2 linked regions of the Anolis sagrei genome follow. The protein of the gene in region 1 purifies or fractionates together with the protein of each later gene. This does not show direct contact. Links are inferred from orthologs where the notes say so. Each region holds a gene or a part of one and is shown on either strand. Other genes may lie near its edges.

What was found.
Region 2: the proteins of GLS (region 1) and SIRT5 purify together in Homo sapiens (affinity purification with western blotting; 3 studies listed by BioGRID and IntAct, with this or other methods). This does not show direct contact. The link is inferred for Anolis sagrei from reciprocal best matches to the Homo sapiens genes GLS and SIRT5.

Annotation. Positions count from the first base shown.
Region 1 is NC_090021.1:182,826,560-182,833,885, reverse strand, and holds the start of GLS (glutaminase kidney isoform, mitochondrial), read left to right. Parts: upstream 1-4,244; 5' UTR 4,245-4,288; coding exon 4,289-4,593; intron 4,594-7,326. UniProt on the Homo sapiens protein: Catalyzes the first reaction in the primary pathway for the renal catabolism of glutamine. Plays a role in maintaining acid-base homeostasis. Regulates the levels of the neurotransmitter glutamate, the main excitatory neurotransmitter in the brain.
Region 2 is NC_090024.1:80,003,429-80,010,389, reverse strand, and holds the start of SIRT5 (NAD-dependent protein deacylase sirtuin-5, mitochondrial), read right to left. Parts: upstream 3,105-6,961; 5' UTR 3,008-3,104; intron 1-3,007. UniProt on the Homo sapiens protein: NAD-dependent lysine demalonylase, desuccinylase and deglutarylase that specifically removes malonyl, succinyl and glutaryl groups on target proteins.

The sequences.
Region 1 (7,326 bases):
ACCTTAAACCTATGAAAGGATGAATTGTCAATAAAGAACCACTACATTATTTTACTACACTGTGATATTTTTCACTAATCTTGGCATTAAAGGAATTTCATCCCAAATATAAGCATATGAATTATTACTGTAAGTGCGTGGCTTTTAACATCTCAGTTGAGTATTTTCCTTTTGCCCAGAAGATGGCAGCACGTTTAGTATTTCCAGAAAGCAAACAGTTGCCATGGTAAATATAGCGTAATATTACAGCTGTTCCCTCCAGTGCTAACACATTTTAAAATAAATCAGGAACAGAAACTGCTGCATATGTAATACACGCTTAAATCAACACTTCCTGAAAATCCTTAAATCATTTTAACACCAAGTTGCTGGTTTTTGACATTTTTTCTTCCTATGAAGAAAAAAACATCTCCATTTTAATGGAAACCAATTTAATGTACCATCCTGCGTGCTCTGGCCAACAGGGCACAGAAATGTATTGCTAAAAGTCGGTTGTCTTTTGAAAGCATCCACTTTTGGCAGGCATCCTCCACTGCTTTCTTCTCTCTCGAGTCTAAATGTAACGGAAAGAAAATGAAAACCATATTTTATTTTTTCCCAATGGAGATGTCAATCCAGGGAGGTTTGCTTTCCCACTGCTCTTTAGCATCAGCAAGTCAACTAAGAAAATGAGACTTCCAGAAAGTGAGAGAAAAAGAAAGATGCAGCAGGAGGAAAAGAAGATGCAGAAAGAAGGAAAAGTCTAGGGAGGGGATGCTGGCAGATTGAAGCCCAGCTTGAGCCCTTTTTTTGTGTGTGAGGCCAGCAATGCCTGTGGATCTCATCTAATCCCATCGACAGCCAACTGAAGAATCCTATAGCTACGTGCCCTTTGGCACATCTGCCTACCCACACTATTTCTCCTGGCCATCTGTCCTACACTGGCCAGGGCTCCCTCCCTTCACATCTGGGCCTCCTTCAACTTCTCTTGTTTTCTTTTCGGGTGGAGATACTCTGAGTGAATTCATACAGGTTGAGTGTCTTGCATCTGAGATATTTGGGACCAGACATGTCTAGGATTTTTGGATTTTTTTCAATTTGTGTTCCAAGAGTATGCACATGAAGTCAGCCCTCCATGGATGCTGCATCCAAGGACTCCATCATCATCATCATCATCATCATCATCATCATCTTTATTTATACCCCGCCACCATCTCCCCAATGGGGACTTGGGGCGGCTTACATGAGGCCCAGCCCAAACAACAATTACAATAAAATAAAACACAAAAACACACAGCAATGCAATAAAATACAAAAAGATATGAATACAGTAAGCAATACAAAATATAAAATACAGTATCCACAATTACAATGACATTGAGCGTGCCACATGTACAGGAAAAACACTAAAAACTCAGGGTGAGATAAGGAGGAGCAGATTATTTATGAGGGAGAGCACATAAAAGAGTGGAGTTGTAAAAGGGGGCATTAATATAACCGGGGAATGAGTGCTCAGCTATCCAAGGCTTGAAAATAGTTCCTCCAAAAGCAAACTTTGATTTTGCCATTTGATATATGCAATTGCACATAATGACACTATGTAACACAATTTGAAAAAGATTCTGTTCCTAGTTTGAAAGTGTTATTTCTTGTTTGATTGTGAAGCACTTACTTTGAAAGTGTAGTTGTTGTACTCCAGAAACTTCGTTTTTGTGGCTGCCAAAAACTAGGTTGAATGGGTTGCCTCTCAACGAGATATTCATTGAAAAACTAGAGCAAAACGTCTGCAGGATGTTCTGCAAAAAAACAAAACAAAACAAAACAATTTTTTTTGCAGTTTAATAAACGCTTTCCATAATTTTATGATATAACCAATTAGGAAATGACATTGATAACCCAGAAACAAAAATTGTATTACATAGTGTTGTTATAAATACTAGGAAACAACCTGAATGCAAACAACTGCAACAACAGAAAGCTGGCATTAAAAAAAACCAAACCCTTTAATAACTCCAATTCTAATCCTGCTCTTCCTGAAAGTCCAGCATTGCATGTATATCTATGTCCTCCATCAACCAAATATGGCTCAAAAATATTTTCCCAAAACCAAGCAAGTAAACTCCAGAAAACAAACCTTTATTTGCCATTTTATCTAAAAGACATTTTACTATGCTGCTTTATATAAAGGGACTCAAGTATCCATGGATACTAAGTACATACTGTATCTCCTCAATTCGAAGACACACTCTCCCCCCCCTCCCCGCCATAAATATTTCTAAAAACTGGGTACACTTTAGAATCCTATGTGTTTTACGTGCATGCACATATATACTCTATACAAGTTTCAGCTTTGTTTCTCCTGTTGGTAGTAACGTCTCTTAGGCCCCTTCTACAGTGCCACATAACCCAGAATACCAAGGCAAAAACCCCCACAATATTTGCTTTGAACTGGGCTATCTGAGTTCACACTGTCATGTATTCCAGTTCAAAGCAAAAAAAAAAAAATGTGGTATTTTATTCAGCTCTGTGGAAGGGGCCTGAGGCAGCTTCTACACTGCCATATAATCCAGATTATCTGCTTTGAACTGGATTACATTATTATTATTATTATTATTATTATTATTATTATTAGAAACATTTATATTCTGCCCTTCTCATCCCAAAGGGGACTCACAACATATATACGGCAAGTATTCCATGCCGGAACATAAAATAAGTATAAATATACACAACCATTAAAATTAGTTATATCTACTTTAACATCAGTTGTTTAAAACCATCTCAAAACATCATACCGATTCATATAGACTCATATAGTCCAGTTCAAAGCAGATAATGTGACTGTACAAGGCATTTTAAACTTGTGTAGAAGGGGCAAGGTTCCTGAATGAAGTCTGTAAACAAACGTGTAGCAAATGTGAAGTTTCTTTTTTTTATAATTTATGCTGTATTTTATACTGTCTTGTTATATATGCCAATAAAAGCCTATTGGATTGGAGTGTAGAAGAATTAGAATTAGTCCTTAGAATCGAAGTATGGCATTTTTCTAGAGTGGGACATGAAGGCACAATTGGGGGTTATGAAAACTTTTTTGAAATGTAAACTGGCTTTATAGGAACGTGGAACAATAAAACCTCAAAAAGACTAGATGTACTCCATCACACAGCTTTTCCCTCACCACTTGCTTTGTTGTTTCTATGGCCACATCTACACTGCCATATAATGCAGTTCCAAATGCCATGTATGGTCAGTGCTGGCTCATATAATGCATGTAGGCTGCATTATATGAGCCTACAAACCCTTCCACGCAGCTGTATAAAATCCACACTGAACTGGATTATATGGCAGTTTGGACTCAGATAACCCAGTTCAAAGCAGATATTGTGGGATTTCTGCCTTGATATTCTGGGTTATATGGTTGCATGGAAAGGCCCTGAGTCCACATTGGCATATATTCCAGTTCAAAGCAGAAAATGTGGGATTTTATTCAGCTGTGTGGAAGGGCCCTCAGATCAAAGCACATATTCCAGGTTGTATGGCTGTGTGGGAGGGCCCTGAGTCTACACTGCCATTTAACCCAGTTCAGAGCAGATATTGTGGATAGTCTCCCTTGATATTTTGGGTTGTATGGCTGTGTGGAAGGGCCCTGAGTCTACACTGCCATTTAACCCAGTTCAAAGCAGATATTGTGGATTGTCTGCCTTGATATTTTGGGTTGTATGGCTGTGTGGAAGGGCCCTGAGTCTACACTGCCATTTAACCCAGTTCAGAGCAGATATTGTGGACATTTTGGGTTGTATGGCTGTGTGGAAGGGCCCTGAGTCTACACTGCCATTTAACCCAGTTCAGAGCAGATATTGTGGGATTGTCTGCCTTGATATTCTGGGTTGTATGGCTGTGTGGAAGGGCCCTGTGTCTACACTGCCATTTAATCCAGTTCAATGGGGATTTTAGACAGTTGTGTGGAAGGGGCCTGTGTGTGTGGCACATTTTTGTGGGAAGGCAGGGCCCAAAACCACAAGAATACTGGATGCAAACTTTTCTTCCCCTCAGCCCTGCCTGTGAGGCGCCCCTTCTTTCCCCTCCCTCAGCCTGGCTGGGCCCAGCTCCAAGTGCGCCACATCTTTCTCTCCCTGACAGGGCCAGGCTCTGGAGACGGGCGCGCGTGGAGACCAATCCGCTCCCAGACCGCCTGACGCTTTACCCAATGGCGCGGCTTGGGGGGCGGGGCCGGCGGGGCGCGCGAGCGACGCGCGGGCAGCCGCGGCCACTTCCCTCCGAGGCGGCGGCGGGAGAGGACCTCGGCGCGATGATGCGGCTCCGGAGCCCGGCGCTGCTGAGGGACCTGCTGCGGCTGAGCCAGGGCGGGCCGCCGGGGGTGGCGGTGACGGGCGGGGGCTGCTGCCGGAGGCCTCCGGAGCTGCGGTGGCTCCGCCCGGCGCCTTCCCTGCGCCTCGTGCCTCGCTCCATGTGCACCCGCTCGGAGGGGATCCTGGAGGAGCCCGGCAAAGGCCCGCCGCCTGCCTCCGCCTCCTCCTCCTCTTTGGAAACGCCCAGCAACAACGGCGGCCACAGCGCGGGCCCAGGCCAGGAAGCCGGTGGATTGGGGGACGAGTGAGTATTCAGGAGGGTGAGAAGGAAGGAAGGGAGGAGGGGGCTTTGGAGGGGAAGGATGCTCTGTCTGTTTGTCTGTCTTCCTTCCCTCCCTTGGCATGTGACAGGACGCCGCCGCCTTGTGCCTCTTGGACGGCAGCAATTGAAGTTTCCGCCTCCTCTCTCTCTCTCTCTCAGGCCAGCCATGTGGCCTTTTTGGAGACTGTAGAATTGGCCCACTCTTCCTCCTAACTGCCAATGGTACGCGGCCCTGGGAGTTGTAGACACCGCCAGCACTCTTCGGCAAGGAAAGGTGGAACTGCAACTCCCAGGATGCCAAAGCGTTGAGTCACAGGCAGTCCAAGTGGGGCCAGGCAACATCAGGGCTTTCCACAAAGCCACACAACCCAGAATATCAAGGAAGATCATCCCACAATATCTGCTTTGAATTGGGATATATGGCAGTGTTGACTCTAAGTCTTTCCACACTTACACACAACCCAGAATATCAAGAAAACCCCACAATATCTGCTTTGAACTGGGTTATAAGACAGTGTTGACTCTGAGCGCTTTCACACAACCCAGAATATCAAGAAAACCCCATAATATCTGCTTTGAACTGGGTTATATGGCAGTGCTGACTCTGAGCCCTTCCACACAACCCAGAATATCAAGAAAACCCCATAATATCTGCTTTGAACTGGGTTATATGGCAGTGCTGACTCTGGGCCCTTCCACACAACCCAGAATATCAAGAAAACCCCATAATATCTGCTTTGAACTGGGTTATATGGCAGTGCTGACTCTGAGCCCTTCCACACAACCCAGAATATCAAGAAAACCCCATAATATCTGCTTTGAACTGGGTTATATGGCAGTTCTGACTCTGAGCCCTTCCACACAACCCAGAATATCAAGAAAACCCCACAATATCTGCTTTGAACTGGGTTATGTGGCGGTGCTGACTCTGAGCCCTTCCACACAACCCAGAATATCAAGGCTGATCATCCTACAGTATCTGCTTTGAATTGGGTTATATGGCAGTGTTGACTCTGAGCCCTTCCACACAGCCACACAACCCAGAATATCAAGACAGGTCATCCACAATATCTGATTTGTACTGGGGCCTTCCACACAGTTGAGTAAAATCCCACATTATATGCTTTGAACTGGGTTATATGGTAGTGTAATAATAATGATGATGATGATAAGGCCACCTTACTGGGATCTGCACACATTATTCGCTGATACATCACACAGTGCTAGACACTTGGGAAGTGTCCGACATGTGATCCAATTCAACAGCCAGCAGAGCATCTGCTGTGGACTCATCTTGTTGGGTTTTTAATAATTATAATATAATATAATAATAATATAATATTTTTGTGTCTTGAGCAATTGCAAGTTGCTTCTGGTGTGAGAGAATTGGCCACTTGCAAGGACGTTGCCCAGGGGACGCCCTGACGTTTTACCATCCTGTGGGAGGCTTCTCTCATGTCCCCGCATGGGAAGTTGGGGCTGACAGACGGGAGCTCAGCCTGCTCTCTGGATTTGAATAATTGACTCTTCGGTCAGCAGTCCTGCCAGCACAAGGGTTTAACCCATAATAATAATTTATTTATAACCTGTCCTATCTCCCCAAGGGGACTCACAGTGGTTTCTGCACAAAAAAGTGGCAAGCATTCAATGCCATTGATAAAAACACAAACCAAACCAAAAGCACAACAACATCAATATAACTTACAATAAATAAATTAAAAAAATACAGAGTAATTAATAAAAGCATAAACAATTAATAAAAGCATAGTGTTGACTTTGGGCCTTTCCACACATAGTACTCAGAATATCAAGGCAGAAAAGCCCACCATAGCTGCTTTGAACTGGACTGTATGGCAGTATTATAATATATTAATAGTAATACTTTATTTATAACCTGCCCTATCTCCCCAAGGAGATTCAGGGAGGTTTTCACACAAAAAAGTGACAAACTTTTAATGCCATTAATGAAAACACACAAACTACTGTTTGTGCTGAAGACTCCCATGGTCCAGTTGTCCAAAGGGATGCTAGTTGTAAAAGCAGTGTATATATTATTTATTAGATTACAAGCAGTCCCTGAATTACAAACGACTTACACCTAACAACAGGAAGTGAGAGAAATCTTCCCCTCAGAAGGAAAACTCACTTCTGTAAGAGTTACTCTCATGGGGAAAAGATGTCTCCACCGAAGCTTTCTCACCAATCCTTGTTTCCACAACAAGCCTTTTTTTTTTTTTTTCAAAATCCAGGGACAGAAAGTGAGGTGAAATCTTCTGAATGGGCACAGACAGCAAAACAAACTCCACACACATGTTCCCTATACTATCCAAAGCTTAATATGTTTGGCTGGAGTTACACTTAAAATGTACCTGTTCCAATTCAACTTAAGAACAAACCTATTGAACTAATCTTGTTCATAACTTGGAGACTGCCTGTACTGGTGAAAAGAAACTCAGTAGCATTACTGATACTTAACAATTAGCTGCCATTAACTGTCAAGTATCACCACCACATGTCATTCTCGCCTGACTTGGGGTGCACGTTTTGCTCTAGAATGAATGCAGCTTGACACTGCTTTAACTGCCATGGCTCAATGCTAGGGAATCATGGGAGTTGTAGTTTGGTGAGGCACCAGCACACTGGTGGAGAAGAAGGCTGAAGACCTTGTACAACTGCATCATAATTCTACAGTGTAGATGCACCTCAAGTGTCACT
Region 2 (6,961 bases), on another chromosome or scaffold:
ATGAAAACGAATATTGTCATTACTACTACTGTAGACTATCTTTCAGAGGAAGGAATGGGCAAAAATACCTTCATATATTCCATGCTTAAGAAAACTGTGTGAATCGGTTTGCCCTAAGCTGGCAGATGACTTGAAGGCACACAAACACAGAAATCAATCAATCAATCAATCAACCAACCACCATTGTCCTCGTCTATCCTTTCTTCCCTGCTACCCCAGATGTCAGGTGCTCCATTCTGGAAAAACATGTCTATTGTGTAAGGGATTCTTTTATTAAACAGTGCACTGAACACCAACTGACCATGAAATTATTTGCTGAGCGATTTAATTGTATCTCCATAAGTTAAAATGGCCTTGATGCACATTTGTCTACACCAGTTGAACTATGCTTACTATAAAACTTCAAACGCGAGATGTAACATGCAAAGCAAAAGACTTGGTAGTACTCTGATTGTTATTAACTGTTTTCAAGTCAACTTCAACTTATACTGACCCTATGAACAACTACCAAATCATGCACAAAAGGAGATTCACACATTTTGGGCAAAATCCAATTTTAGATGCAAACAATGAGTTAGATGAACGGTAACTAACAAATCCATTCATATGAATGACTGGAATTAAAATTAAGTTCACACCCTCATTTTAAAAATGAGGGATACTACAAAGACAAGAGCTCCATTACATTACACTGCTCCAGCACTATTATCTCACTTTAACTGTCATTTTGAGTTCTGGGATTTGTAATTTAGTGAGATCCAAAAGTTTTTTAGCAGAGAAGTTTCAAAACTGCAAATTACAACATTCCATATCATGCTGCCATGGGCATTTAAAGCAAAATGAGATAGCTATAACAATATAGGGTGCAAAAATGCTATACATTTTGGGGATAGAGGGCCCTATCTTACACCACATTATTTTAGTTATGTTCTTTCATTTTAACTGCCACGGCAACCTGGAATACAGGCAGTCCCCAAGTTACAAAAAAGGCACTATAGGTTTGTTCTTAAGTTGAATTTGTATAAAAGTTGAAACATATATATTTTTAAAGTGTAACTCCAACCAAAAATTATATTTGGATAGCATAGGAAAGGGTTACCACTCCTGTGGTGTTTGTTTTGCTGTCTGTGATCCTGTTCAGAAGATTTCACCTCGCTTTCTGTCCGTGTGATCATTGAATTTCGAAATGATAATAATTCCTTCCAGAGCCAATTTCCCTTCTGGGGGGCAGATTTCTCTCCCTTCCCATTGTCTCAACCCCGTTCTTAACTAAAGTTGTTTGTAAGTCAGGTGTTTGTAACTCGGGGACTGCCTGCTTTTAGAATCGGCTTCCAGGCCTCACTAAATTATGAACCACATAAGGTTTCCATGCAGTTACAGTGGAATAACAGTGGCCTTCCTGTGTTACAGTTACAGTGGCCTTCCTCTGTTGGTGATCCGGAAGCCCAAGTTGGTACAAAATTCAGCTGCTCGGCTTCGTGCAAGAATTCCGATGAGATGCCACATAACACCAATCTTACTGCAGCTGCATTGGTTACCAATTGAACACTGGATCACTTTCAAAGTGATGGTACTCGCCTTTAAGGCCTTGCATGGTCTGGGGCTGCTGTACCTGAAGGACTGCCTCTCCCCCTACTAACCCCAGAGATCCCTCTGTTCTGAGGACCAAGATTTGTTGAAATTCCCAATGTCAAGACCTTGCGTCTAACAGCAACCAGACGCAGAGCGTTTACAGCAGTGGCACCATCACTCTGGAATACTCTGCCACCTGAAGTCGGTGCCTTGCGGGACTTATCAGCTTTCCGCAGGGCATGTAAGACATATCTGTTTCGACAGGCCTTTGATCTTTGGTATTGCTGTTTTTAAATTGTGTTAGATTTTAGCCTGTTCTTGTAAGCCGCTCCGAGCCCCAGGGGAGTGGCAGAATATGAGTTTGAATAATAAATAAATACATAAAATAATAGTGTGGTAATACTGTTGTGTCCCAAAAAACAGACAGAAAGGCCTCCCGAAGGAAGCAAACCAAATAACTTCCACTTTTTGGGCCCAAAACACAAAAATAAATATTGCATTGAAAGGTTTGTTGCAGGCATGGGCAAACTTTGGCCTTCCAGGTGTTTTGGACTCCAACTCTCACAATTCGAATTGTGGGAGTTGGAGTCCAAAACATCATCATCATCATCACTTTATTTCTTAATTAGTCGCTCTCCACCAAGGTGCTCCGAGCGACTTACAATTTAAAATACACAATATAAAACATTCAATATAAAAACATTCAACATAAAAACATTCAGCAGTGACTATGGCAAAATTTGATCCAGTTACTTAAATGCACAGCCAAACAGCCAAGTCTTGAGCACCTTTGCAAAAGGTCGCAACTCCGACATTGCTCTAATATATGGAGGCAATGAGTTCCACAGAATTGGAGCATTGATCGAAAAAGCTCTACGCCTTATAGCTCCCAAATGTGCCTCCCTAGGACCCGGTATGTAGAGGAGATTTTCCTGGGTGGATCGAGGTGACCACTGATGGGGAAAAGGAATGAGGCGGTCCCTAAGATATAAAGGTCCTTGGCCATTTTGAGCTCTAAATGTCAGGATCAGTATCTTGTAAGAGATCCGATGTTCACCTGGAAGACCGAAGTTTGCCCATGCCTGGTTTATTGAGTAATGGAGGGAAACCATTTCCTCTGGTGCAGCTACACTCTAAAATTAATGCAGTCTGACACCACTTGAATGGCTAGGGCTCATACTATGGCCTCACAGGAGTTGTGGCTTTGCCTCCGGCCTTCTCCGCCTTGTCAAACCACAGCTGCCAAGAGTCTATAGCACTGAGCCATGGCAGGTAAAAGTGGTGCTGAACTGCCTTAACTCTACAGTGTAGTAGCTGCAACCCGAGGGAAATAAAGAGACAAATAAAACAACAACATGAGGATAACTCTCGTCGTTCTTCCTAACTCCCGACCAAAGTGGCTGCCTCAACGTAGAGGAGATGGAGGGCGACTCACCTCGTCAGTCCTCCCGCCGAACTGCAGACTCCAAGGCCAGGAGGAGGAAGGGAAGGGAAGGGAAAGGAAAGGAAGGGGCGGACTTCATTGCAGGAACCGCCTCTGATAGGCTCAGGAGGCGGAAGTGGAAGAAGAGGCGGCGCTGCGTGGCGCGCGGCACGTCTCCTCTCCCCCCGCGGCCCCGCCCTCCCCGTTGCCTAGCAACCGCCTCCTCACGGCCTACAATGGCCCAAACCCATTGATTCTGAGGGGATTAGTATTCGGGAGAATGAAAGGCATGAGGGGGCATCTCCTTCCCCCCAAAATCCATAATCCTCTGTTACAAAGATCTAAACCCCTTTTAGCCTGGAATATCTCAGTGACAAGGGAACTGCTACTGAAGAGCAACTTTCAAGTCTGGCAGAGAAAGCTAAATCTATGTAACTGAATCTCTATCTATCTAAAACTTCCCACAGAGAACCCTCATGACCAACGGAAAATACTTAAGGCCTCCCTTCATCAGGGCAAGCAAACGTAATCAAAGTCCTCCTGACAAAGAGCCATCCAGCCATAGAGACAGATAGATGATAGATAGATAGATAGATAGATAGATAGATAGATAGATAGATAGATAGATAGATAGAGAGTTGTAGTTGTGATATTGAGATATATATGATTCACACATACACAGATATAGTATCATAGATTTGAAAGGGACCCCTGAAGAAGGACAATTATATGTTGCATGTTCCAGAGTAGTCAAACGAGACAATCTCCACATCAACACTGACAAAGAAACAGCAAGAAATACTGTTTACCCACAAACATAAAGAAATCACATATATTAGAAACCAACACTTTCTCATTACTTTATTTTTCAGATCAAAAGACTGGGCCACAGCAACGTGTGGCAGGAGACGGCTAGTCTATTTGCTATAAATGCTATATATAAGTGACATCATAACTCAAAATCCGCTAGAGGAATTGCTGCCAAATGCCACAAGTCACCTACTGACAATGAGGACGAGCACACAGGTCCCTGACTTCAAGCTGAGTCACAGCAGGGAGTTCCGCAGTTCCTCAGAACCTGGACTTGATAAAGACAAAGTGACTGTGGCTCTACCAGCAGCCTTAACACAGAGATTTTCCTCTTCTAACCTAACTGACTCCAGCAAAGGATCACCGCCTTGTCGGGGCGCTGGAGCTTGAGCACCTCAATGATGTCATGAGCGAAACCGTGAAGGGCCACCCAAGACGGGACGGTTGTGGCAGACCTCTTCCAGAAAATTAGAAACATTGGAGGTAAATTTCAGGCAAAAATTGGTATGATAAGAAACAAAGATGGCAGGGACCTAACAGAAGCTGAAGAGATCAAGAGAAGGTGGCGAGACTATACAGAAGATCTGTATAGGAAGGATAATAATATTGAGGATAGTCTTGACGGTGTGGTGAATGAATTAGAACCAGACATCCTGAGGAGTGAGGTTGAATGGGCCTTAAGAAGCATTGCTAACAACAAGGCAGCAGGAGACGACGGGATCCCAGCTGAACTGTTTAAAATCTTAAAAGATGATGCTGTCAAGGTGATGCATGCCATTTGCCAGCAAATATGGAAAACACAAGAATGGCCATCAGACTGGAAAAAATCAACTTATATCCCCATACCAAAAAAGGGAAATGCGAAAGACTGCTCAAACTTCCGTACAGTGGCCCTTATTTCTCATGCTAGTAAGGTAATGCTCAAGATCCTGCAAGGAAGACTCCAGCAATACATGGAGCGAGAGTTGCCAGATGTCCAAGCTGGGTTTAGAAAAGGTAGAGGAACGAGAGACCAGATTGCCAATATCCGCTGGATAATGGAAAAAGGCAGGGAGTTTCAGAAAAACATCTACTTCTGCTTCATTGACTATTCTAAAGCCTTTGACTGTGTGGATCATAATAAATTGTGGCAAGTTCTTAGTGGGATGGGCATCCCAAGCCACCTTGTCTCTCTCCTGAGGAATCTGTACAAGGACCAAGTAGCAACAGTAAGAACTGACCACGGAACAACAGACTGGTTCAAGATTGGGAAAGGCGTACGGCAAGGCTGCATCCTCTCACCCAACCTTTTTAACTTGTATGCAGAACACATCATGCGATGTGCGGGGCTTGATGAATGCAAGGCTGGGGTGAAAATTGCTGGAAGAAACATTAACAACCTCAGATATGCAGATGACACCACTCTGATGGCCGAAAGCGAGGAGGAGCTGAGGAGCCTTCTAATCAAGGTGAAAGAAGAAAGCGCAAAAGCCGGGTTGCAGCTAAACGTCAAAAAAACCAAGATTATGGCAACAAGAATGATTGACAACTGGAAAATAGAAGGAGAAACCGTGGAGGCCGTGACAGACTTTGTATTTCTAGGTGCAAAGATTACTGCAGATGCAGACTGTAGCCAGGAAATCAGAAGACGCTTACTTCTTGGGAGGAGAGCAATGTCCAGTCTCGATAAAATAGTGAAGAGTAGAGACATCAGACTGACAACAAAGATCCGCCTAGTCAAAGCCATGGTATTCCCTGTAGTCACCTACGGATGTGAGAGCTGGACCTTAGGGAAGGCTGAGCGAAGGAAGATCGATGCTTTTGAGCTGTGGTGTTGGAGGAAAATGCTGAGAGTGCCTTGGACTGCGAGAAGATCCAATCAGTCCATCCTCCAGGAAATAAAGCCCGACTGCTCACTGGAGGGAAAGATACTAGAGACAAAGTTGAAGTACTTTGGCCACATCATGAGGAGACAGGAAAGCCTAGAGAAGACAATTATGCTGGGGAAAGTGGAAGGCAAAAGGAAGAGGGGCCGACCAAGGGCAAGATGGATGGATGGCATCCTTGAAGTGACTGGACTGACCTTGAGGGAGCTGGGGGTGGTAACGGCCGACAGGGAGCTCTGGCGTGGGCTGGTCCATGAGGTCATGAAGAGTCGGAGACGACTGAACGAATGAACAACAAACCTAACTGAGCTCACCCTGTTTCATTGTAGCTAACCCCCCAATAAAAGTATCCTAGATTGTAACTTTTCCTCTCTAAAGTGAAACTTTGTGTCGCTTTACTGACACAAAACCTTCTCTTTAATAAACCTTTCCTTTCCTGAGCTGCAGATCACTGCTGGCCTGCCCAGGATGCTCTTACAGACGAAACTGCAATCTTTTGAACCATGGATACAGAAACCCACTGGGCCACAGCGCTCTCTGGACCATGCTCCAAAAAGTCAGGTGCCCCAACAAATTTCTGAACATCCAGCGGCTCCTTCATGATGACATGATGGCAACTGTCCTGGACAGCAGTGGTTCCCAAAGTGACCCATTTAAGGTGGAATCAGGTGTCAAACAGGGATGTGTTATTGCCCCAACTTTATTCTCCATCTTCATCGCTAAGATACTTTATCTTGTTGACAGGAAGCTTCCCACTGGAATGGAAATCATCTATCAGATAGATGGCAAGCTATTTAATTTCAGCAGGCTGAAAGCCAAAATTAAGGTTACAACAACATGTTATAGAACTCCAGTATGCTAATGACATCATCTGTGCACATTCAGAAAAAGGCCTACAAGCCACTCTAAACACTTTCACAGAAGCATATGAGAAACTCGGCCTGTCATTGAACATCGAGAAAACCAAAGTGCTCTTCCAGCAGTCACCGGCCAATCCTTCTCCAATGCCAGAAATACAGCTTAATGGTGTAGCATTAGAAAATGTTGACCATTTCTGCTACCTTGGCAGCCACATCTCCACAAAAGTCAACATTTACACTGAAATACAACACCGCCTGAGCTCTGCGAGTGCAGCATTTTTCCAAATGAAGCAGAGAGTGTTTGGGGACTGGGACATCCGTAGGGATACTTAGGTGCTTGTTTATAAAGCTATTGTCCTCACAACCCTGCTGTATGCCTGTGAAATGTGGACTGTCTACAGACGTCACATGCAACTCCTGGAATGATTCCA